Schizosaccharomyces pombe: one gene and its partners. Changing the gene in region 1 together with any one later gene gives a genetic interaction. Each region holds a gene or a part of one and is shown in the gene's direction. Other genes may lie near its edges.

Region 1 (8,964 bases):
ATAGCAACGACGTTTCCTTGGTAAAAGAAGAATAGATAAATTAAATTTGGCAATTTATACAATACGTGTTTTCTAGAGATGCGTTAAATAAAAACAATCTAGCGAAAATAATGGAAATTGGTAGTAACGACCTTGCGAGGCAGCTATGTAGCAGAAAGACTCAACTGCTTACAGATGTTATTATACAGAAAAAAAACAATTAGAAGAATATTTAGAAATAATTTACCTTTTTGAGCAATAATTTCATGTATCTTTATAAATTGAATGCTCATATATAAGCGCATGGTGCATGGTCGAATGAACGCACCATCCACCATGACCGATAAGAAACCAGAAGTGGAACACCTTCAGGGTGAAAACCCTCCAAAAGAGTATGTTTTCGATGTAGCAGTAACTTTTTTTTAGAATTCGATGCTAACAAGCTCAGTACATATAGTGCAGAAGACACAGCAACAGCTATTCTTCGTAAAAAAAGAAAACCAAATTCTCTAGTGGTCGATGACGCTACCAACGATGATAACTCAGTAATCACATTGTCGTCCAATACCATGGAGACTTTACAACTTTTCCGTGGTGACACAGTTGTCGTTAAAGGAAAGAGACGGAAAGACACTGTCTTGATTGTTTTAACTGACGAAGAAATGGAAGATGGCGTAGCAAGAATTAATCGTGTTGTTCGTAACAACTTGCGCGTAAGGTTAGGCGATATTGTAACGATCAATCCTTGTCCAGATATTAAATATGCTGAACGAATTTCAGTACTACCCTTGGCTGATACCGTCGAGGGTCTTACTGGTTCTCTCTTTGATGTTTACCTTAAGCCGTACTTTGTTGAAGCGTATCGTCCTATTCGAAAGGGCGATCTTTTCGTTGTACGGGGTAGTATGCGTCAAGTTGAATTTAAAGTTGTTGATGTTGCTCCTGATGAATTTGGCATTGTTAGCCAGGATACAATTATTCATTGGGAAGGTGAACCCATTAATCGTGAGGATGAAGAAAGTAGCTTGGCAGAAGTTGGCTATGACGATATCGGTGGTTGTCGTCGCCAGATGGCTCAAATCCGTGAGCTTGTCGAGCTTCCCCTCCGTCATCCCCAATTATTCAAAAGTATAGGTATCAAGCCACCTCGTGGTATCCTTATGTATGGTCCTCCAGGTACCGGTAAAACTTTAATGGCTCGCGCAGTTGCTAATGAAACGGGCGCTTTCTTTTTCCTGATTAATGGTCCTGAGATTATGTCAAAAATGGCAGGCGAATCTGAGTCTAATTTGCGGAAGGCGTTTGAAGAAGCCGAAAAAAATTCCCCTGCTATTATTTTTATTGATGAGATAGATTCTATTGCTCCCAAGCGTGAAAAAACGAATGGTGAAGTTGAACGACGTGTTGTTTCACAATTATTGACTTTAATGGATGGTATGAAAGCTCGTAGTAATGTTGTAGTAATGGCCGCTACCAATCGTCCTAACTCTATCGATCCGGCATTGAGACGTTTTGGTCGTTTTGATCGTGAAGTCGATGTTGGTATTCCTGATCCCACCGGCCGCTTAGAGATCCTTCGTATTCACACAAAGAACATGAAGCTTGCTGATGACGTTGATCTTGAGCAAATTGCTGCTGAGACTCATGGTTACGTTGGATCTGATTTGGCATCTTTGTGTTCTGAAGCTGCCATGCAACAGATTCGTGAAAAGATGGATATGATTGACTTGGATGAAGATGAGATTGATGCCGAGGTTTTAGACTCTCTAGGTGTTACAATGGATAACTTCAGATTTGCCCTTGGTTCCAGCAATCCTTCTGCTTTGCGTGAAACCGTTGTGGAAGTTCCCAATGTTCGTTGGGAAGACATTGGTGGATTGGAAGAAGTTAAGCGTGAATTACGTGAAACTGTCCAGATGCCTGTTATGTATGCCGAAAAGTTTTTGCGTTTTGGTGTCACTCCCAGCAAAGGTGTTTTGTTTTTCGGACCCCCTGGTACAGGTAAGACATTGTTGGCGAAAGCCATTGCCAACGAATGTTCTGCCAACTTTATTTCAGTAAAGGGACCCGAATTGCTTAGCATGTGGTTTGGTGAGTCTGAATCAAACGTTCGTGATATATTTGACAAGGCTCGTGCTGCAGCTCCTTGTGTCGTTTTCTTAGATGAGTTGGATTCTATTGCCAAAGCACGTGGCGCTTCTGCTGGTGACTCTGGTGGTGGTGATCGTGTTGTCAACCAACTTCTTACTGAGATGGATGGTGTTAACAGCAAGAAGAATGTATTTGTTATTGGTGCTACCAACCGTCCCGATCAGATTGATCCTGCCTTGATGCGTCCCGGTCGTTTGGATCAATTAATCTACGTTCCCTTACCCGATGAAGAAGCTCGCTTCAGCATTTTGCAAACTCAATTGAGACATACGCCTGTTGCTGAAGATGTTGACTTGCGTGCAGTTGCTAAGGCGACCCATGGCTTCTCAGGTGCTGATTTGGAGTTTGTTGTACAAAGAGCTGTTAAATTGGCCATCAAGGACAGCATTGAAGAAGACATCAAGCGCGAAAATGAGACTGGAGAGGCTCCTGCTGACGATGTTGTTATGGACGAAGATGCATCTGTGTCTCAAGTTCAGCGTCATCATGTGGAGGAGGCCATGAAAATGGCACGCCGCTCTGTCAGTGATGCAGAAGTCCGTCGTTATGAAGCTTATGCCCATCAACTCCTTACCTCGCGTGGTCTTACAGGATTCCAGTTTGATTCGGCTGATAGTAATACTAATGGACCAAGCTTCGGAAATGATGGTGCTGATGATTTGTATGCATAGAAACTACCACCTTAATGCATGAATTCTATATCCGATGATGAACAAAATTTATGTATGAACATGGACTTGCCTTTTTGTTGAAGTCATTTTTGTAAAAGGTGATTGATTGATTGATAATAATGACTTCTCTGCTACTTAACATGAGTTTGTAGGGATTCTTAAATTTAGTCTTTGAATAGAACGAATTTTTTTTTATGAGTAAGAAATTCTTGAACGCCCAAGTCTAGTTTACTACAGCATACTATTATGTTGACTGTTGTGTTTAGTTATAACTTTTCGTCAGTTTTTGCAAGTGTAGAAATGTGCATTTTCACACGATTCACATAACGATCGGCATATAGATAGAAGCCAACCCGGAGATCCAAGTGTTAACCTAAAATGTCGTTATCGAAATAGTAGCATATTTGTATGTGTAGTTATTTTCAAGGTGAACTGCTACTATGCTAGTAGTGTGCTAGCGATGTTAAGTCTCTTCGTGGAGGCAACGCCCCGTTAAATCTACTGGAAGAGCTAAAACTGGGATGTTCCACTATCGACCACAACGAGTGGACGATATCTGCGAGCTCATGGACATGTTGTTCGGCAGATAACCGTAGTTTGACCCTACCCCCACAAAAGTATGTAATGTCGATTCAGAATTTCCACATGGTGCCTTAAGCATCGTTACCTGTGTTACCTGGAAATATTAGGTTATTATAAAATTTGTTTAGTCGCGACAACGACATGCATTAAACTGACAATCCTCCATATACATGAGTGAGATTGAAATTATTTGTTAAGAAAGAGTTTTGACGGATTCAGAAAGTTTGAGTAATTAAAAGTATCAAGGTTTTTACTAGAAGTCAGTGAAAACATTCAAAAACGATTAATCGTCGATATCCGGCTTTTCGCCACTTGACCAGTTAGTAAGCTTAGAAAGGAAAGAGAATCTTTTACACTAGAAGATTTTTACTTCTAAGTTGCAATAACTTCATTTATTCGAATTGTAAAATACGAGTTCACTGCAGAGTTTCAGATCATTGAAGATTATTGCACTAAAATTCGTTTTTAAGTGTTAAAAGCTGATTTGTTCTTTACAATTCGCATAGGATACACTTCATTTATCATTCAATTTTGGTTTTTCCTTTGTGAAATAGGAAAACCGCAAAGCGTTTGTCTGTTATTTTATATTTTTTAGTTTGGATGTATAAAATTGACATCCTTAACCAATCTATCAGACATTTAGTATATATGTTATAGGATTCGTTTTTTGTCCTTCACGTGCCTTGTTTCAGTTATTATTTGACTGTTAATTCTTTCTCCTTTCCTTACATTTCCGATTCTCCTCTTGACGTACATTGTTTCGACAATACGTTTCTTATTTCCTAGTTAGTGTCTAATTCTATTTAAAGTGTGGATGGCGTTTATCTTTTTGAAATTTATTTTCCAGGCTTTTTTTGAAATAGACTCTTCTGAAGTACATTAAGTTTTTCAAGTGTCTTTTCTTGTTTATCTGTGCTATTACTGTGTGCAGGTTCAATCGATTGTTTTTATTCTTTCTCTGTCTATTTTACCGACCTTCTTTCCTTGTTGTTCTTCGCGGTGGCTTTTTGTTTGATTACACTCTTTTTTTATCCCCTTTAAAAAAAAAAAGTTTGGCATCTCAACAGTTCTCCTCATATTTTCCTTCTTCAACTACTTTTCTCATCTCCCTGTTGTCCTTAAGAAATATTTAACATATTCTGTTGCTTTGCTATTAACGTTATTTGGTAAAATTATTTGGCAGATTATATCTTGCTTATTTTTGCCTACCTGTATTTCTCTGACAAGTCAATTTTGATTTATTTAGCTATTTCTTTTTTCTGACTTGTTGATAACTAATTTAGGATCTTGCATTTCATTTTCGAAAATTATTTTGCGGTTTTCGTTTTTAGTCTTTTTGAATCCTGATTGCAATCACTTTCAAGCTTTATTTCCCTTCATATCTTTTATTTTAACAACATATTCTTCTTTTGAAAAATAAGAAAATAATTGTTTAATTTGAAAACTTGTTTTATCATGACGCGTGAGTCTTTAGCACCGATAGCCTCGAAAGCTAATACTTTATCCGAATCAAAAGTTTCGGAAAACTTGATGTCTATTAATTCCGATTCTGGTACCTCTAATGCTAATACACCCAGCTCTGTTACTTCTAATTCAAAACCTGTGGCTTCTTCTACCGCTGCTAAAAAGGACCCTAATGCCCCACCCCAGAAAGTTAAACAATATGTTTGTGAAACATGTACACGCGCTTTTGCTCGATTGGAGCATCTTAAACGACATATCAGATCTCATACCAACGAAAAGCCTTTTACTTGTAGTGAGATTGATGGTTTACCTACAGGTTGTGGTCGACAGTTTTCGAGGCGTGATCTTCTACTTCGTCACCAACAGAAAATCCATAGGAATCCACAACCTCGAAGAAGACGTCGTTCAACAACGGCTTTACCCAATCCTTCTCTTTCAAATGTTTCGGTAAGCACAACAAATTTAGCTTCTAAACCTGTTATTTCTTTACCTCAGGCAGATTCCATTGACAAATTTCGTTATCCAAAGTTGCATGCCGCACTACAAGCGCAGCTTGCGAACAACTCAGGTTCATTTTCTGCAAGTTGGTTGCAAGCCCAACAACAAAGGCTGGTTTCTGCCGGTAATGGGAGGGAAACGGTAAATGCCTCTGCATCTGGTGCAGTAAATCCTACATCTTCTCAATGGTCAGATCAACGTCTCGGTGTGCCTTATGGACCCGACAGTCCTTTGTACTATCGTAGGGCAACCATTGCCAGCGATTTGAGGCCTTCTGTTTATCAACACCCGCAGCTTTATGACTTTAATAGACCTGAAAGCCTTTCAGGTCAATTAGACGATGAAAGTTTGGCTAGAATGCCGTATTCACCTAACGCCGTTTCACGAAATTACGCTATGAATATGACACTTCCTGAATCTATTCCTGAAGGGTACGAGATTGATAAATTGGATTGGATGAGTTTTAGTGAGTCTTTAAATCTTCCTACTTTCAATCAACCTAGTGGCCCATCTGATGTTTCTGCTTCGTTTCTTAATCTTCAGGCTATGCCTTCTCCTCATGCTTCACCAAAAGATTCTTTGATCAACAAATCAAATAGTTACTTTTTTCAGAATCCTCCTAAGAGTAATTCTGTGGATTATACTCGTCTTGATAATCTCGAACATATGCGTCAGTCTTGCATATCGCCTAGTGGCACTAATTTTTCACCGAGCTGTTATAGCCCTGAATCTTTAATGCAGCAACCATTAACGTTGAGTCCTTCTTCGATCCCTTCTGGATTGCCCACATATGCACATGTTAATTCGCCATTAGGAACAGAGCAATATCCATCTGAAGCTTATCCTCCAAAAGGCTATGTTGATATGGAAGGAAGAATATCAGAAGGCATCAAAGAAGAAGGCATTTCATTATCTGAAGAAATTACCGATAAAGATCAGGCCTTCGCTTCGATGGGATATTTTGACTCTTACAATTTTGAAGGCGTTGAGAATTCAAATTCATTGAACAACGAAGGGGATCAAATGGAGACTAATTTTCAGTCTGAGAAATTAGATAATTCCAATTCAATTCCTTTCTTTAATTTTAATTCATTCAATAACAATGGGGCAAATTGGTCTTCAGACTTTAATTATCCTGTATCCGAAACTTCCGGTTTGCTTACAGATAATAATCGGAATCAACCGCCCTCATTTTAATTTTTTTCATATCTTTATATTTTATACTATTTGTTTCTTAATGAAATGCATCTTTTAGTTTTTTTAAACAAAAATCAACTAGCTTTGATTCGGTTTTTAATTAATTTAAGGATTGATCTGAAGTTTTGAATATTTTGATTTGGGGTTCAATTGTTGATAGGAAAACGATCCTCTTTTACCGAATATTTAATTACGCTAAGATATGCAATGCTGAGAGGTTCACAACACATTAGTTAAGAGGGTTGCTTCTGATATTTTATTATCAAAAAAGGTTCAGCGTGATATGGTTAACAATAGCAACGGAGGCTTTATATTTAAGATGAAAAAAATGGCATTCAAGCACATGTTCCCTTAATTCTCAAGAAAGAATCTACTCGTTCAAACTTTTCCTTAATAATGATAATGATAACATGACTACGTATGTTTAATAATAGAAGAGAATATTTTTTAATGAGATGAAGGAATAATATAGCAAAACTTCTGAAAATAAATTGATACAGCTAATTGAAGATATTGTTGTTTATTGTTTACTGCCCTGAATCTAAAAATTTTGAAAGTCTAATAGGTTATTTATTCAAATGTCAAATAAGGAGTTATTAGCGAAACAAAGTTTGTAACAAATGGTTATTAAGCATTCACTCTGCATGCACTATATTCACTTGATTTAAGTCGTCAAAACTAGCTTTGTGAACAAGGGGGACGGCCCTTAAAAGAACACAAAAATGATTTCGATAAGAAATGCGCTAGCAGAAAAATAATTACTAAAGTAGAAAGACAGTCAATGGTTAGAAACTGGAATGTACGAAAAAGTTAATTTCTGTATTCCCTATAAAGGGAAGGTTCGTTTAGCAAAAGAAGTTGAAGATCACAAAAACATTTTCAAAATCGTAAAAAAAAAGTTCGTAAATATCACGGTTATTAAATATAAATAAAAGAACTATATAGCCTAGTTCAAAGAGGACGTGAAATAAAAGAATTAAGTGAAAGTGTAACAGAGTTACAGCAAGTACAATTGCTAAGTGATATTTATTTGCACCCTAAATGGAAGCCACAAGTAATAACAACGCACAAAGGAGCAAAATAATAAAGCATCTGGGATACTGTTTAGCCTTTCGGCTGACCTTGTTTAATCGATTTTTTGCATGATCAAACCTCCTCTCAATTCGATCAGCATCATTATTCATATTATCTAGTAAAACATTTTGTTCGGACAATTCTGTATTCATTGCATATCCCATCCGCTTTTGCCTTTGGACACTTGCTTCGATCCCTCCTAAAGATTCTTCTTGTTCGTTGAGCATTTGCTGATGCATTTGAGCCAAAACGTTTACGTTTATGGGATCAGGGTCATTGCCATCAACCGGATACATGGCCTCCATCTCAATATCAGATCCCTCACTACTCGAAGTCGTTTTTTGTAAAGAAGGAAGGGGAGTTAACTTATTATTCGTACTTGCAACTTGCGGGTTTGCAGAAAAGGCACTTGTTCCGTCAGCAGGAATTGAGGATGCACGCCGCTGCTTCTCAAACTCTTCCTCAGCAGACTCTAACCTCCTTTGCATTCTAATAAGAAATGCTTCGGATTCTCGTACTCTGTACTCTGGGATTTGTGCATTTTTCTCTAATCGCGATTGCTCCTCATTAAGTTTTTGCAATTCTTGCCGAACATCTTTCAATGAAGACTCAATTTCTTCATCGGGATTCTGTCCAAACTCTTCCAACTTCCTCCTGTCTCTTATTTTTTGTGAAACCGAGTCAATGATCAGAAGCAAATTTGACATAGTCGCTGGTTACTTTCTTGAGTAATCATGTTCATCATGCGCCTAAAAACACAAACATTAGTGAAGTTTACAGTAATACGGTGTAATGCCTTTGCTACCAATTCTAGGTTCAATTACAGTAAATTTTGTTTGCAGCAAAAAAAGAGAATCTTTTCGTATGTTTTAAATAAAAAAAAAAGTAAAAATGATTTGCTCATTAGCTGCCAGATCCATTATAGGCATCCTGTGAAATTATCGTATTATTAGAAACCTACTCGTTATTTACACAATTTTTTGAATGCTTCTTTTCGACTCTTCTGATTGTTTTCGGTATTTATCACAAATTTAGTAGTTCTTATTTCACATCTATTAAAAGGTAATCAAGCAAGGTGTAAGGAAAACTTTTTAATTATTGAAAGTTGGTTTGCGTAGTTTCAAAATTAATCAGATAAATTTATACAGCAAGCCCAGTATAAAAAGGGGCCTAACCAGGATTCGAACCAGGGATCACCTCTAAACTCAGCATACAAGTGGGGATTACCCGAAAGAGGTATGTTAACCACTACACTATTAGGCCTAGGTTTCTCATTACAAAATATTAATATAATATATATATAAAATAATTGCGACATAATAAATGTTAAGTACCTCTTTGCTCTGAA
Region 2 (6,474 bases), 2.3 Mb from region 1:
GAATTAGCCGCTATCCAGACAAAGGGTATATCAGCTGGAAAAACCGAACAGCTTAATCCGCAAAAAGAAACTAGTCGTAGTAAAACTCATACTTCCCGAGGAGAAAATGTAGAGGATCGACCACAATCCTTACTTCAAAATGGCATTCAACCTATCATTATGCGCGATGGGAAACTTGCTTTGAACCCCGAGTTTTTCAAGAATGCAAATGGAGAGCAACAGGCTCCCAACGAGCAAGCCGTTCAAGCAATTTCACTACTCCAACAGCACATTAATAAGCAGCTAGGACCTGCCGCTGCCAACAACCCGGAGCAAGCCACAGCGATTGCGAATGCTCTCGCTGTGGCTTTAGCCCAAAAACTTCAAAAGCAGCAAACGCAAATGCAAGGGCCCCAACAAGTGCAACAACAGGCAAAGCGTCGTAAAGCTTATACTTCACAGCAACTTAATCCGGCGCCGACTGCAATGCCGCACCCTAACATAACATCACCGTCTCCTAGTATCTCAGTCACTCAACGTCCTGCAGTAAACGTTGGACCACCTCCATATGTTAGGCCATCTGCTCCTTCGAAGTTACCAGATACACGCCAGAGTATTGGAGACCCGTTACCCCCAGGAGCAATGGCTAATGTGTCCGCGGGGCCATCGTCAGTTCGATCATCGTCGTACAACTCCACTGCTTCTGAAAGCAAATCAGAGATAACAAGCCATCAAAATCTACACACCATACCAATAAACAAACCATTCACTTCTGATCGGCCTTTATACTCTTCGCCTAATGATACTTTAGAGAGAGTTGAAACAGGCAATCAAGGACAAAGGATGAATTCCATTGGAAATGCATCAAGCTTTAGTAAAAGAGATATAATGGAAAACGAAAATGGATCTTTTGATACTAATGCAAAGAACGGAAACAATGTTGACGACTCATCTTCAGTAAGGGGCATGAATTTACCATCAAACTCAAGCGACGCTTTACGAGGAGTAAAGCGACCGTTGGACGAGACATCATCCTCTTATACCTGAATTTACTAATGCTCATGCACGTAACGTTGTTGATGACTTCTTAATTAATACATTAGTGCCGAAAATTACACTTACCAGCATGCATAAGCTGTTTCATTTTTCTTTTTTTGACAGTGATTGCACAACTTGGTCTTTGGGTGGTTTCTACTTTTATTTCTCATGTGTTTAATGTTTACCTTAGTTAATACTTTACATAATAAATTGCCGTCTGGTTTTATTTCATTTAATAAGCATTTTCGTTTTCTTGTCGAAAAAGTTAATAGCAAAGCAGGAAGGGTATGGAGGATTCGCTTTTGTTATCTGTGAACATTAGCGATTCCTTATTTACGTTTTCATTGAAACCTTTGTTTAGCCAATACAGAAAGCATATTTACTTCAATGATTGTTTTTATAGCACTTTTAATAAGACCAAAACTATTATTGTTGTAATCCTGTCGGGCAAGCTCTCTGATCTGATAGACTTCAAAAGTTACATTGAATTTGTTTTGAAAACAAACAACTCATATTCAGCGATTCTAATTTCTTACTATAGATGTATATTTATCATATCACTTTTCCATAGACCGCTCACTATTCATTTCTTAACTAACTTAACTCACGGATGTACAAGAAGCTTCACAAAATAATATACCGAAACACTGGAAAACGCAAGCTATGTTGCATCGTCAAACATTCTACTCTCTATTTTTTTATGCGCTTCGATAAACCCCATATTATGGAGTCAGGGCATTGCGTAGTACATTTTATGACGTATGAGTGAGCTAATGCAGGCATCCATCCATTTTAGTCCAACGCCTCAGGTAGACTTTAAACATACATCTCAACCGTAACAAACGAAGGTAAATAACTGATTTGTATAGCTGAATTCAGCTCTTTTATTTTGGAAAATTTACCTCTTGTGGTTGATTAAAGTGTCAGGAAAAGCTGAAGCGAACAAAAACCGCGAGATTGTGATTCACTGAGAGTAAGAAACAAAAAACCGCATTTTTTGAAAGAAAGGCACGTAAACTTTAGGAGACATGTCTTTCGAAGAAGTATATGAGGAGCTAAAAGCCCTTGTTGATGAGCAAAATCCTTCAGATGTACTTCAATTTTGCTATGACTTTTTTGGAGAAAAGCTGAAAGCTGAGCGCTCAGTATTTCGTCGAGGTAAGTAGATGCTTCTGGATAGCTATGTTTAGTGGAGAGGAAAAGTAAATGATGGTCAATATGGGTTCTTTTTTGTGGTTTTTTACTTTGTTTTGCTCTATAGTAAGTATTTTCTAAATTTAGTCAGCAAACAGCAATTATGATTCCTGGCTGTTAATAATTCCACAAAGTTGTTTAAGGACCCTGTACCCATTTAATCTCCCACTCTATACTACACAAATTTTACCCTTTTTTGTTTTATCATGTTAACAAATTTCTCTTTTAGGCGACACCATTACAGAGTCTTTTAGCGACGGAGATGAAAGCGATTTCCTGTCTGAGCTCAACGATATGGTTGCTGGCCCCGAGGCAATTGGTCCGGATGCCAAATACGTTCCTGAATTGGGAGGATTAAAAGAAATGAACGTTTCATATCCGCAAAACTACAATCTGTTGCGTCGCCAATCTGTTTCCACTGAGTCGATGAATCCTAGTGCATTTGCACTAGAGACCAAACGAACCTTTCCTCCGAAGGATCCTGAAGATTTGAAAAGACTAAAGCGCTCAGTTGCTGGGAACTTTTTGTTTAAGAATTTGGATGAAGAACATTACAACGAGGTTCTGAACGCTATGACTGAAAAACGGATTGGAGAGGCTGGTGTTGCTGTCATTGTCCAAGGAGCAGTTGGAGATTACTTTTATATTGTGGAGCAAGGTGAATTCGATGTATACAAAAGGCCCGAACTAAATATTACCCCTGAAGAAGTGCTTTCGAGTGGTTATGGTAACTACATAACTACGATTTCTCCCGGTGAATATTTTGGAGAGTTGGCACTCATGTATAATGCTCCACGAGCTGCATCGGTGGTCTCCAAAACACCAAATAATGTAATTTACGCATTAGATCGTACAAGTTTCCGTCGTATCGTATTTGAAAACGCATATCGCCAGAGGATGCTGTATGAAAGCCTCCTTGAAGAAGTTCCCATTCTCTCAAGCCTTGACAAATATCAACGACAAAAAATTGCCGATGCTCTTCAGACAGTCGTGTATCAAGCCGGTAGCATCGTTATTCGACAAGGCGACATTGGTAACCAGTTTTATCTGATAGAGGATGGCGAGGCTGAAGTAGTGAAGAATGGCAAAGGCGTAGTCGTTACCCTAACCAAGGGAGATTACTTTGGTGAACTAGCTTTAATTCACGAAACAGTGAGAAATGCGACGGTACAGGCAAAAACTCGCCTGAAACTTGCTACATTTGATAAACCTACATTTAATAGACTACTTGGTAACGCGATCGATTTGATGCGTAATCAACCTCGTGCCAGGATGGGAATGGATAATGAGTATGGTGACCAATCTCTTCATAGGTCACCTCCATCAACTAAAGCATAAAATTTCTATAATCTGTTTTCTTTGAAACTATCTTTGTAATAATGACCTGTCATGATATGCTAAAGAATTTCCCTGTTGTTTGTTTGCCTTCTAACTTTTTCATATTGGTCATGCATGCATGTGATTGTTTACCATTATCCCTGGAATAATTTACTTATTCATGTTGAACATGTTTTGTTTGGATTACTTATCTAATTCAGCATTATATGTGATAATGTATATATACGTATTATTCTTTTTTATTTCTTTGAAAACCTTTATGTCTTGTTCTAGCATGGCACTGGATATGGTTTGTTAATGTTTTAATTCCAATTATATTCGTGATTACCACTTCACTGTTCTTATTTTGTTTTTTTTTTTCTTTTTGAAATTTCCTTTTTTTTTTATTATTTTTATCTGTCGAATATCGCAGCATTTGATGTTTGGAAGCTTACCGTTTAGTTTGTGTTTTTTTTTTCGTACGGATCATGACAGTTATTTTATCGTTCTCTTCATCCTGTTTTTTTTTGTTTTTTAATCGATATTTGATATCGTCAAATATTTCTATCTATATGGAGAGTTCTTATATTTGTTTTTTGAATAATCACACACTCTTCAAAACAGCAGCTGCATTCAATAATGTACTTGGCATTGGAGTAACGCACATTATACAAGAATTACCGTGGTCCGTAAACACTTGCAAGCATGAAATACTTAGAAAGCTTTAGGCAGACGCTAGACGTGGGGAAAGGGATGAAGTGTTAAAAATTCAAGAGTGTGGATGTTTTGTATGCAAACTGAGTGAGTTCTCGGTTTTTGTAGTTACGTGACATAACTTTAAAAATTTTATGAGAAATTGACTAATATCAAGAATTGAGAATAGTTTTTTAATACAATACACAAAATTTTTACCAAGTTTTGAGTAAAGGGGTGCAAATTAGATGAAACTACAGTCTGCGATAAACGATACGTGTAACTAGGAGAATGCAAATTGTGTAAAAAACTTATAAAACGAATATCTTGTTAGACAAATAAATTCAGCAAAAAGCGAAAGGACTTTTATTCAATTATCAAATCCGTACGAAATGGGATACAAAAAATTTTAAAGAATACTCAATTTCGTACATTCAATGTTCTTGCGAACATAATAAATAAAAAAACGACTACAGTTGCGAACTATGCGTAAGGTTTTCTTAAACAAGAAAAATTTTTTTCCCCATATTCCATACTACATATTTACTGTGAATGTTCTTAGTAGGGTAGGTTATTCACAACAAGCACAACGGGTAGAAATGACAATTACTGCAGAATAAAGTTAAGCACTCGAGATAAATTGTAATATTAAGAAGATGATCAGCGAAGCAATGTTTTGGTAAAGAAATGTTTTGTTTTGTGTCTTACTTTCGTCTGAATTAACTTTGTTTACATATGCATTTTTTCACTCACATAACAGGGTTTCGTATAAATTCTAGTTACGCCAAGATTTACAACTTCTACCAACCACCAAACAAGAACGCAGAGCGTGTAAAAGTAGAACAAAAATTGAGTTGAATATGACCACGAATCCCGATATTGTTAAACAGACGAAAAATGAAATTCACCAAGTAACGTCGAGAGTCCAGGAGAAGCTGGATTCGAAAAGTACCAACGCGGTCGAGCAGAATAACAATTCTTCCCAGGCGTCCGTCACCAAGGATAACAAGAAGAAGGCCGCTAAACGCGCCAAAAAGAAGGCTGCAAAAAAGAAGAAGCAGTCAGCAGCAGCATCTGCCTCTTCCACACCTGTGGAAGAAGCTCAGCACGCGCAAGAGGAACAACAAGAACAAACCATATTACAAGAGCCAGGATTTACACAAACTATAGTGGAGAAAGACGCTGATCAGGTTGACGAGCCTTTGGAACCCATAGCATCCTCAGCTCTGGGTACTGTAGAGCCGCCTACTGACAACAAACCCTCTGCCTCCACGTCAACAGCAGTGCCAACTACGGAAGCACGCAATACAAGTATTACCGAACCCGCCAATTCCCCTTCCTCCTCCTCCTCATCCGCTTCTACAAAGTCTACTGCAACCACACAATCCGCTGATTACGTCGTAGCCGAACATTTCGCACCCCAGCGCAATGACGAGCAACTCGGTAATTCCCCAGCTTCGATTACGTCTAAGCCAGCAACGACATCTGCTGCGCAACCTTCTTCGAAAGTAGAGGAAAACATGGCGAAAGCTACTTCACAACCCATTACTACCGCTGAGAAAGAAATTCCAGAATTGAAGCCCATTGAGCCTGAAGCTATTATGATATCGAAAGAAATAAATACTACGCATGATCAGGCAGCAGCTACGACAACAGCAGCAGTTGCCTCTGCCTCTACTACTGCCACTGCTGAGTCACATGCAGTGGCCGATGGAATTATGAATGATAACGTACTTGAAAGCATTGGTGAAAACGTTCAGCAAGAGACGGTTTTCGAGGATGCGAGCGACATTCCACATGCAGATGTCATCCCCCATACCACCACAGTAACGGTGGAAGAAGAATCGCCCATCGCCCTTGGCCAGGGAGGTGTGACGCATGAGGCAACAACCAGTGCTAGAGCTAGTGCTAGTGGCATTCCGGGAGCATTTGAAGAGGTGCAACAAACTGTACAGGAGGACCTTCCTCATCCCACCGCCGAAACGGTTGAAATCGCGAGATTTGCTGAACAACCCGTCCGTGCTCAGCAACCTGAGCAATACGAGTCTTCCGTTGTCCAAGAAGCTACTGAAACTGTGACCGATGTTGGCAAGGGTGTCTCTTCCACTGTCAAGAACGAGGTAAATGTCCCCTCGACCATTCCCACCGAGTCTGAAAACCCAGTGGCCGTTGGAGGTACCACTGCAGAACACCCAGTGCAAGAAGCTGTCACTGCCCCTACCGAGACTGCTCATGATTTCTCCAAGGAAACCA
Region 3 (8,051 bases), on another chromosome or scaffold:
CTCTAGAGCAAAAAGTTAATCGGCAAGTTTATTCGAGTAGAATAGGAAGAAGTAGTAAGATAGAATAGATACTAGAGGAGAATGGATATGACAATAAAATGGGTTGGTAGAAATTTAATAAGTTACGCTTGTAAAACACTATAGCATTTTTAAAGATACATATGGTCAAAGACACATATGATCAGAGATATACATATGATCAAGAGTCACCCATATATAGGATGGTCAATTTTTTCACCAAATTGTTTTTCTCCATTTTTTTCATTTACTGTCTATCCAACATCGATTAGCCGCAATGAGGGATTATACAAGTCAACAATGATAAGCACAGTTGGCTAGCAGAGTCCAGTTCCAAAAGGATGCAATTTTGGTGATATGTAAGAAAACATTCCACAATACAATTTGTGAAGTTTTTAGCTATAAATTTATCGGTTTAGGTTATTTTCAAAGTATAGTCGTTTTCAAAAAATTATATTCGTTTTCAAATTAAATTCGTTATCGTTCAGTAGTAACCTTTTTCATTCAAAACTCGTCTTCATCTATAACTAATCTACATCTTCATCTTCATCTTTACCTCTACTTTCTCCCATCTCTCCTTCCTATCGTCTCCTTCCTCTCTGCATCTTGCCGGCCGCCATTTTCTGACTCGGCGGGTCATCCACCTTTTAAGCTCAACCTTGTTTTGCTGGTCGCTCGCTCAATTCTTACAAAAGCCCAGGTTAATAGTGCGATTGGGTGATATGCAATGGAAATTAGCGCATATCTCAAGTTGTACGCACACATACGCTAATCTGGCGGCAATTCCTATTTTCTATTACATTGCATAAGTCAAAGCTACTTTGCACAAATTCAAGTAGCATTCATTTCCTTCTCTAAAATAATGTCTAGTCTTTGGACTTTTATCGTTTTCAATGGTTTTATTTCTTTTTTCCATTCCATTTATTTTTTTTTTGAAATTTTCACCTTTCTCAATTTATTCGTCGTTCTTTTTTTAATATAATAAGATTATACTTTTACAGCATACATTGTGTCTCACATAGTCTCTTCCATCGCGTTTCCCATTTTATGATCTTGCTAAAAAAATGTCATTCTTATGCAAATCACCCTGTACTACCACAGCACTTACCTTTCCGACATTCTTGTTCTCCATCTTACATGTCTATCACTGTAGCGATAGATTATTTGTGGTGCATGCCATCTCCAGGGATGATGGAAGGGAAACACAAGCACCCACGCCTAATTTTCGGTAAATTGTAGCAAAATTCCAATGGCAATGACTCGATAGAATCATTGTATGTGTGTGGTTTCTTTCCTTCCGCTCGTAGTACCTGTATTTTTCATCATGACTCCAAGTCTTCGCCATTCTTATTTCACTCCCGTTCCGTTCACCCCAAACTACTTCCTCATCACTTGCTTACTACTCAAACTGCCGGCACTTGTTTTCACACATTCGCTATGCTTTTTTATTCTTTTAACATTTGCTTAAACCTTACCTATAATACCCTGCGGTTTCGCAAATTGCCGCTCTTCAAATGCCCGCTTACTCTATTTTGCTTTCTCCACCCCTCCTTAACTCTCCAACTTCCCCAGCGTTCTACAATTCCTCATTCATTGGAAGACTAGTCGTTGGCTTCTTGTCATTTTGCCTTGCGCTATCTCCCTCAACGAAAAGTAGCTTTGCGAGACTTTTTGCCAAGTGCCACACTAATCTTTTGTACAGGGGGGAATCCCTGACTTTGTTTGCTGTGTTACATCGTTTGTAGGCAAGTAAAAGTGACAAATGCTTTCGCATCATATGTTACTTTAACCCCTGTGAATTTTGTCCCTTCCCCTCATACACATTTTGGCTAGACTTAAAAAAGTTGAATTTCTTTGTTTGATTTTCATTGTCAGTAACATCGCGTATTACGCCTCGCTCTATACTCTTACTAGTTGGTTGCCAATGCGTATGTATATATATATATATATACATACATACCTGGTGACTTACATAGTGAGAATCTATTCATTTAGCATATATTAAAAGGATATCCAGCGTTGAATTGTTTCGCGTCGTATATTGGATTTTCTTTATTATCAAATAAACAAAGCATTATTAGCATTCTGACTTTTCAATCTTAAACCTGATTGTGAATGCTAAAAGAAAGTATTTCATTTGATTAGTTTGCATTTTATTTTTCTTTGAGAGCTTTTGCCTCGTTTTTTTGTTTTCTCTTTGTTTTCTTTTTTTTTTTTACTCAACTTAACTTAACTTTTCTGGTCTTTGTCTTGATTGCAGCTTGTCGTCTTTGAATTAGCTTGCCTCCTCCCATTCTTTCCTGTCTATTCGTGTTAAGTCTATTCCTTTATCTTGGTTTGCTTTGGCTTAGCTCTATTCTTTTCTTTGTTTTGACTTTACTTTGACTTATTTTCACTGACTATTTCTAAGTTTAATTTGTTGATTAATTTTTATTCACATCTCTTCTTTTCTTTATAGTAAACAGACTTAAACTTTTTTTTCTTCTTCTATTCTGTTTCTTCATTTTGTTGGTCCAATTGGCTTCGCTTCTCTCTTCAAACTTTTCTCGTTTTTCTTGCCTCTACGTTCTTTTGGGATCCTCCTCTGTTGGAATTGTTAATTGAGAAGTGTTGGAATAATTTTTTCGTTTCTTGAAATCAAAAGGATTTTATCTTTTTTTTTAATTTTTACGTCGATTCCCTTACTGTACGTCGAATCCCCCCCTTTTTTTTATTTTTTTTCTACGTCAAAATTTTTTTATATATTTCTTTGTCTCTACCACCATAGTTATCCTTTATCAACTTTCTCTCTACTAATTAACTAAGTTGTTTCTTTGTTGCAATTTTTGCCCAACTTTAAATTTTTTTTATTCGCATCGTTATTCTATCGCTTGGCTGCTTATCCTTGATATCTGATCTATTAGATTTTCATTCCTCATTTTATTTTAATATCCTTTTTTTAACGTGTTTCTTTTGTGATTCCATTAGTACACACCATTCAGAATTAAGTTGCATTCACCATCGGTCTTTGTTGGCTCATGTTATAACATTATTTCTCCCCTGTCATTGTCGCATTATTCACGTATTCATTGGTATTCCTCACTTTATTTGTATACCCAAAGTTTCACCATCTTACAGAGCTCAACCATTCTTCAGTTATCGGTGTCTCTGAAATTTCTCCCTTGTTACGCCTTTTTATTTGACTCACTTTTCCGTTATTTAGTCTTCCGTTTCGTCTGTTTTTCCTGTTAACTATTCCGCTCTTTCTTGTTTTTAGTTTTTCCTCCGTTTTATATAGAGAAAAAAAAGCCTTAGAGGCTCGTGATTTTGTTCTCGTTTTCAAATCTCCTCAACTTAAAATTAGGCTTATAAGAAAATCACTTTTAAAGCTTCAATTTTTTTCTTGTGGCCTTCTATTATATATCACTTTCACTCCTTCTTCCACTTGGACCTCTACTAATTGTCTCTTTCAAGTTATCCTTGATTCAATCGCCTTTACGAAAAATATCCTTCATCATTCCAACTCGATCTAGTAACTTTTCAGTCTCAACTTTCATCTTTTTTTTTCTACGCTTCTTTACATTTTTCAAATCGGCTTTGAGTGTTGCTTCTGTTTTTTTCTTCTTGAGCTGGAAATTCCATTAGTTTCATTTATTATTTCATTACCTTACTTTTTTCGTTTAGGAAAAACCTGGCATCAAATATACTTTTGTCACTTTTTTCTTTTTTTTAGTCCAGTCAGTCTCTATTCATTAAGCTTGAACTTGATTTCTTTGGCGAACAAGCTTGTTTAATATCTAGATTGACGGAAATTTTATTTTCATTTATTTGTTGATACATACAAGGGAATTTTACTTTTACTATATTCATCTGTTACTTCACTGTGAATAATTTGTTCATTTTTCATTCTTGTTAGTTTGAGATTTCTTTCTATCTTAATACCATTTTTCTTTTTTTAAATAGAAAAAAATCCTTCACACCAGTTTTTATTCGGTGTTTATTTCTTTACTGTTTTCTGATCTCATCCCCTCTCCCTCGGTTTGTGCTGTTCGCTTCTTTTCTACTTCGTTCTTTCTGACTGCGAACTTCATTTATGTTTGCTTTGTTCTTACTGAATCATCTTTCTAATTAATTCTAAGAACCGTTTCATTTGTTTTATTTTCTCCCTTACTTTTACTACAATTTTTATATTTACTCTTCTCTACACAATGTCTGCTTCTTTAACAGCCGAGCAAAAGGACCAAAAAAGTTCTGTTAAGCGACCTTTAAACAGTTTTATGCTTTATCGTCGAGATCGCCAAGCTGAAATTCCTACTTCTAATCACCAAAGTATCTCACGTATCATTGGTCAGCTGTGGAGAAATGAAAGTGCCCAAGTCAAGAAGTATTATTCTGATTTATCCGCCCTCGAAAGGCAGAAACATATGCTGGAAAATCCCGAATACAAGTACACCCCTAAAAAGCGGTCTACTGTTCGTAGACGCCATAAAAAGGTATCACCTTCTTCCGGATCTTTTGTGGCCTCGGATTACGTTGTACTGCAGCAAATTGCACAATCTTCTAAGACTCTAAAACAGACCGAACCCGAAAAGCCTGTTAATGAGGAGGAAACTTTAGCAGCTTTATTAGCTCCCGCTCTTTCATATCCAAAGTCAGGTAAATCGAATCTTATTGAAACCAGTGAATTGTCTTGTCTTTCGTCTTCCCCAATGATTCGAAGTCATACAATTCCTTCCTTATCCTTCACCGATCAAGTTTCTACAACTATTTCTACATTGGATAAATCCGAGCAAGCTCCTAGTTCTTTGGGCATCTATTATAGATCACCCAGTAGCGGTAGTCCAATCGGGCGAACAAAATCTGTGTGTTTAGCTAATAAAGCCCGAATAGTACCGAAAAGATCAATGTCATCTGATGGCTGTGTTGACAAATCTTATCAAATGTCAAAAACACCGAGCTTGGAGGCGAACTTGCCTCAAAATTCAAGCAATTGCTCTGCTCGAAGAGTTCCAAAATTTGATTCTAAAGGAACCGTGAGTGAGCAAAGTAACTCTGATAGTCCAGAGCTGTCAGCCGATAAAGTGTTGTCTCATTGTAGTCCTATTGATGCTCGACCCTCAACTCCCTCTTGCCCCAATGCCAGTATATCACCTAAAACCCCGAATACCGGTGATCATTATGGTTTTGATGGAGCTGAGTACCTAGGAACTCCTCTCAGTGTAGGCAGCACTACTGCGTATTTATACGGCCAAGAGACCGAACTTTTATCTACGCCTTATTGCCATACTTCTTACCCAGCAATGAGTCGATTGAACAGCAGTTCTGGCTATACATGCGTCTCTTCGTCTAGTGTTACCAATTCTGGACATACTGAAAATAATACCTGGAGAAGCGACGAACAAAGTAAAGGCTTTGTTGACATTAATAGTTTTTCTCAAAGTTTGTTCTCAAATGGCAATTATGAGTTCGCCGCTCATTCTCAAGAATTGGATGATTTATTTTCACAAATTACGGATTTTACATCAACTGATCCTATTGCTTCCTCACTCAAAGATGCTAACTCATTGGGACCTTCTCTTTTAGAACCTTGGTTGCCCAATTCTAATTTATTTTGAAAATATTTCTATGCAAACATGGCTTTGTTTTCAACAAACGATCATTTTTAACGCGTCACAAAAGCATGCAGCTGATTTGTTCATGTCATGCTTAAAAATCTATATTTTTTTAATTTTGCATATCTTTGTTATGCTAGATGATGCCTTCCATAATTTATTTCATTTACCTTTTAAACTCTTTAATTATTCCCTTTTTATGTTTATTATAGGAATATGTGTATACTTAGTTTCCAAAGAGCACATTGGGCAACATTGAATAGTTGCCCACTAATTTTCTTTTTTTTTTAATTTTGAACAATGTCTTACGTTATGAATTGATTTCTTACATCTAATTTCCTGTCATCTAATTTGGGCCCGTTATTACATATATATTGTAGTTAAAAAAATATATATTATATCGCAACGTAATTTCTAATTTTTCTCTTCCATTACTTTCGTAAGAATGTTAAGTATATATATGTTCATTATTTTCTTTACGTATCAAGCAATCATCCAATGCAGTATTGTTATCACCATTTCACTAGATATACTATCGATGAAGGTTTACTTGGCACCCACACCTACTGGGGTAATGTAAAGATAACTCAACCAATAAATTGATTAAGAATAAAGGTAATTAAATTACCTGACAAAGAAACTTATAGAATTCATTCGGTTTCAATGGCGAAAGGTATCTATCTATAAATGTTTATAGCATTCGGCATTCAAATATTTCATGAAAAGCGACGGATTTAAAGAAGTAATGCTATCAAAAATCGATCAATTATATTTTAAAATTATAACGCAAGTCGTAAGAATCTTTGTATATGTTGGATTGCAAAACTGTATTATTTAAGAATGAAAACAAAAAGAAAAAGCCTTAACTCGTCTTTACCCACTAACAAAAAAAAAAGAAAAAAGTTAAGTTTAGAAACAATGAAACTCTTTAATTAAAGTAACGAAAAAGAGCCACAGGTTTTAATTAAAATGGAACTTCTTCGAAAACACATAATAAATGCTAACAAAAATTACTCCAGGAGGAATTAAGGTGGACACTGCATAGCAGTAATTTTCTCTGTCAAATCCATCGCACCCAGAATTTCTGAATGATGCCGTTGGTGTCTACTATATACAGGAGGTAAAGCCGTTGGAATTCGAAGTGCTGGAGCGAGACTTTCGACACCCAATAAATACAGACAGACTAATGAAGTTGTTTTTCTCTCAATGTAAGCCATGTAAAGTTCATGTTTTAGTTCGGGAATACTTGCTAAACCATGCTCATGTAACAGCTGTAAAACCTTTAAATTAAAAGGCGGTTTGAAAACATGAGATCGGATTGAAGGCGTTGAGGGAATAGAGGTTAAGGGAATAGGCAGATACAAACAAAACGAATTTTTTTTTAACCAGGGAAATTTTGCTGCTTGTTCTAAAGAACAGCGCTTCCGTGGGTTTACATTCAGCATAGCTGCAATAAGAGAACAACAATCTTCTGAAATGTAAGAAGGAAACTCCAGTTTACCCGACTTTATTTTTGAATGGAGCATAGGAACGGAAACGTCGTCAAATGGGACTCGTCCACAAACCATAACATAAATCACTACTCCCAGGCTCCAAACATCAACCTCTGGGCCTATGTACGGCTTTGCATCAAGTAATTCTGGGGCCGCAAAATAAAGACTCCCACAGTATGTACGTAATAAATCGTCTTTACTATAAAAATTACTGAGGCCAAAGTCAATTAGCTTCACCTGACGAGAATCCTGAGTTAAAAGAACATTCTCAATTTTTAAGTCTCTGTGTACAATAAAATTCTTGTGAAGATAAACCAATGCATTAATCAACTGCATAGCAAAACTCCTAGCCAAATCTTCATCGAGTTTGCCACGAGCAAGGATGTACTCCAAAAGTTGTCCTCCAGGAACGTATTCGAACAGTATGTAAGTACATGCAGGCGTCCGGATACAGTCTATTACCCGGCATATGTTGGGATGTCTCAATAAACGACCTAAAAGTGCCTCCCTTTGAACACGAACTGTCTGACTTGTATTATTAGGAGTAAAGGGAATCATTTTGAGAGCTGCTTTCTCTCCTGTTAAAATATTTACAACGAGTTTAACCTTTCCCATACTGCCAGCACCAATTGTTTTCTTGATAATCCAGTTTCCAACTTGTCGACCAGGACCAGCTGTGCCAACGAAATCAGATATAGACCTTTGATGTTTTGTAGACTGATTTATTTTTATATTCTGAGAGCGTTTAGGAATAGAGAAAGTATCCCAGCACTCATTCCTTAGGTTAGTTGTGTTCGGTTTCATCTTCTCAGCTGTAAAAGGAATTTATGAACAAAATTGTGCTTAAATAATTCAATTACAAATGAAGTTAAGAAAGGAAGAAGTAGTGTCTTAGATAAAATTATCATAAAAAGAAAACTCACTTCACATAAAAAGATATATTGTTCTT

Evidence for each region.
Region 2: of rst2 (region 1) and cgs1, changing one suppresses a phenotype caused by changing the other (phenotypic suppression), as found in Schizosaccharomyces pombe (2 studies listed by BioGRID).
Region 3: of rst2 (region 1) and ste11, changing one suppresses a phenotype caused by changing the other (phenotypic suppression), as found in Schizosaccharomyces pombe (one study listed by BioGRID).

Annotation. Positions count from the first base shown.
Region 1 is NC_003424.3:1,306,142-1,315,105, forward strand, and holds rst2 (DNA-binding transcription factor, glucose starvation sensing, Rst2), read left to right. Parts: upstream 1-3,539; 5' UTR 3,540-4,838; coding exon 4,839-6,542; 3' UTR 6,543-7,288; downstream 7,289-8,964. Other genes in the region: AAA family ATPase involved in ubiquitin-mediated protein degradation Cdc48, read left to right, coding at 316-371, 428-2,801; fsv1 (SNARE Stx8), read right to left, coding at 7,580-8,323.
Region 2 is NC_003424.3:3,641,194-3,647,667, forward strand, and holds cgs1 (cAMP-dependent protein kinase regulatory subunit Cgs1), read left to right. Parts: upstream 1-1,835; 5' UTR 1,836-2,045; coding exon 2,046-2,175; exon of another isoform or gene 2,176-2,440; coding exon 2,441-3,549; 3' UTR 3,550-4,443; downstream 4,444-6,474. Other genes in the region: DNA-binding forkhead transcription factor for ribosomal proteins Fhl1, read left to right, coding at 1-1,026; SPOM_SPAC1142.09 (uncharacterized protein), read left to right, coding at 1,305-1,652; SPOM_SPAC8C9.04 (uncharacterized protein), read left to right, coding at 5,082-6,474.
Region 3 is NC_003423.3:3,981,381-3,989,431, forward strand, and holds ste11 (DNA-binding transcription factor Ste11), read left to right. Parts: upstream 1-1,995; 5' UTR 1,996-4,205; coding exon 4,206-5,612; 3' UTR 5,613-6,020; downstream 6,021-8,051. Other genes in the region: serine/threonine protein kinase Ppk25, read right to left, coding at 6,635-7,906. UniProt on the Schizosaccharomyces pombe protein: Key transcription factor for sexual development. Activates the transcription of the matp, matm, mei2, mfm, ste6 and rgs1 genes. Binds specifically to a DNA fragment carrying a 10-base motif 5'-TTCTTTGTTY-3'.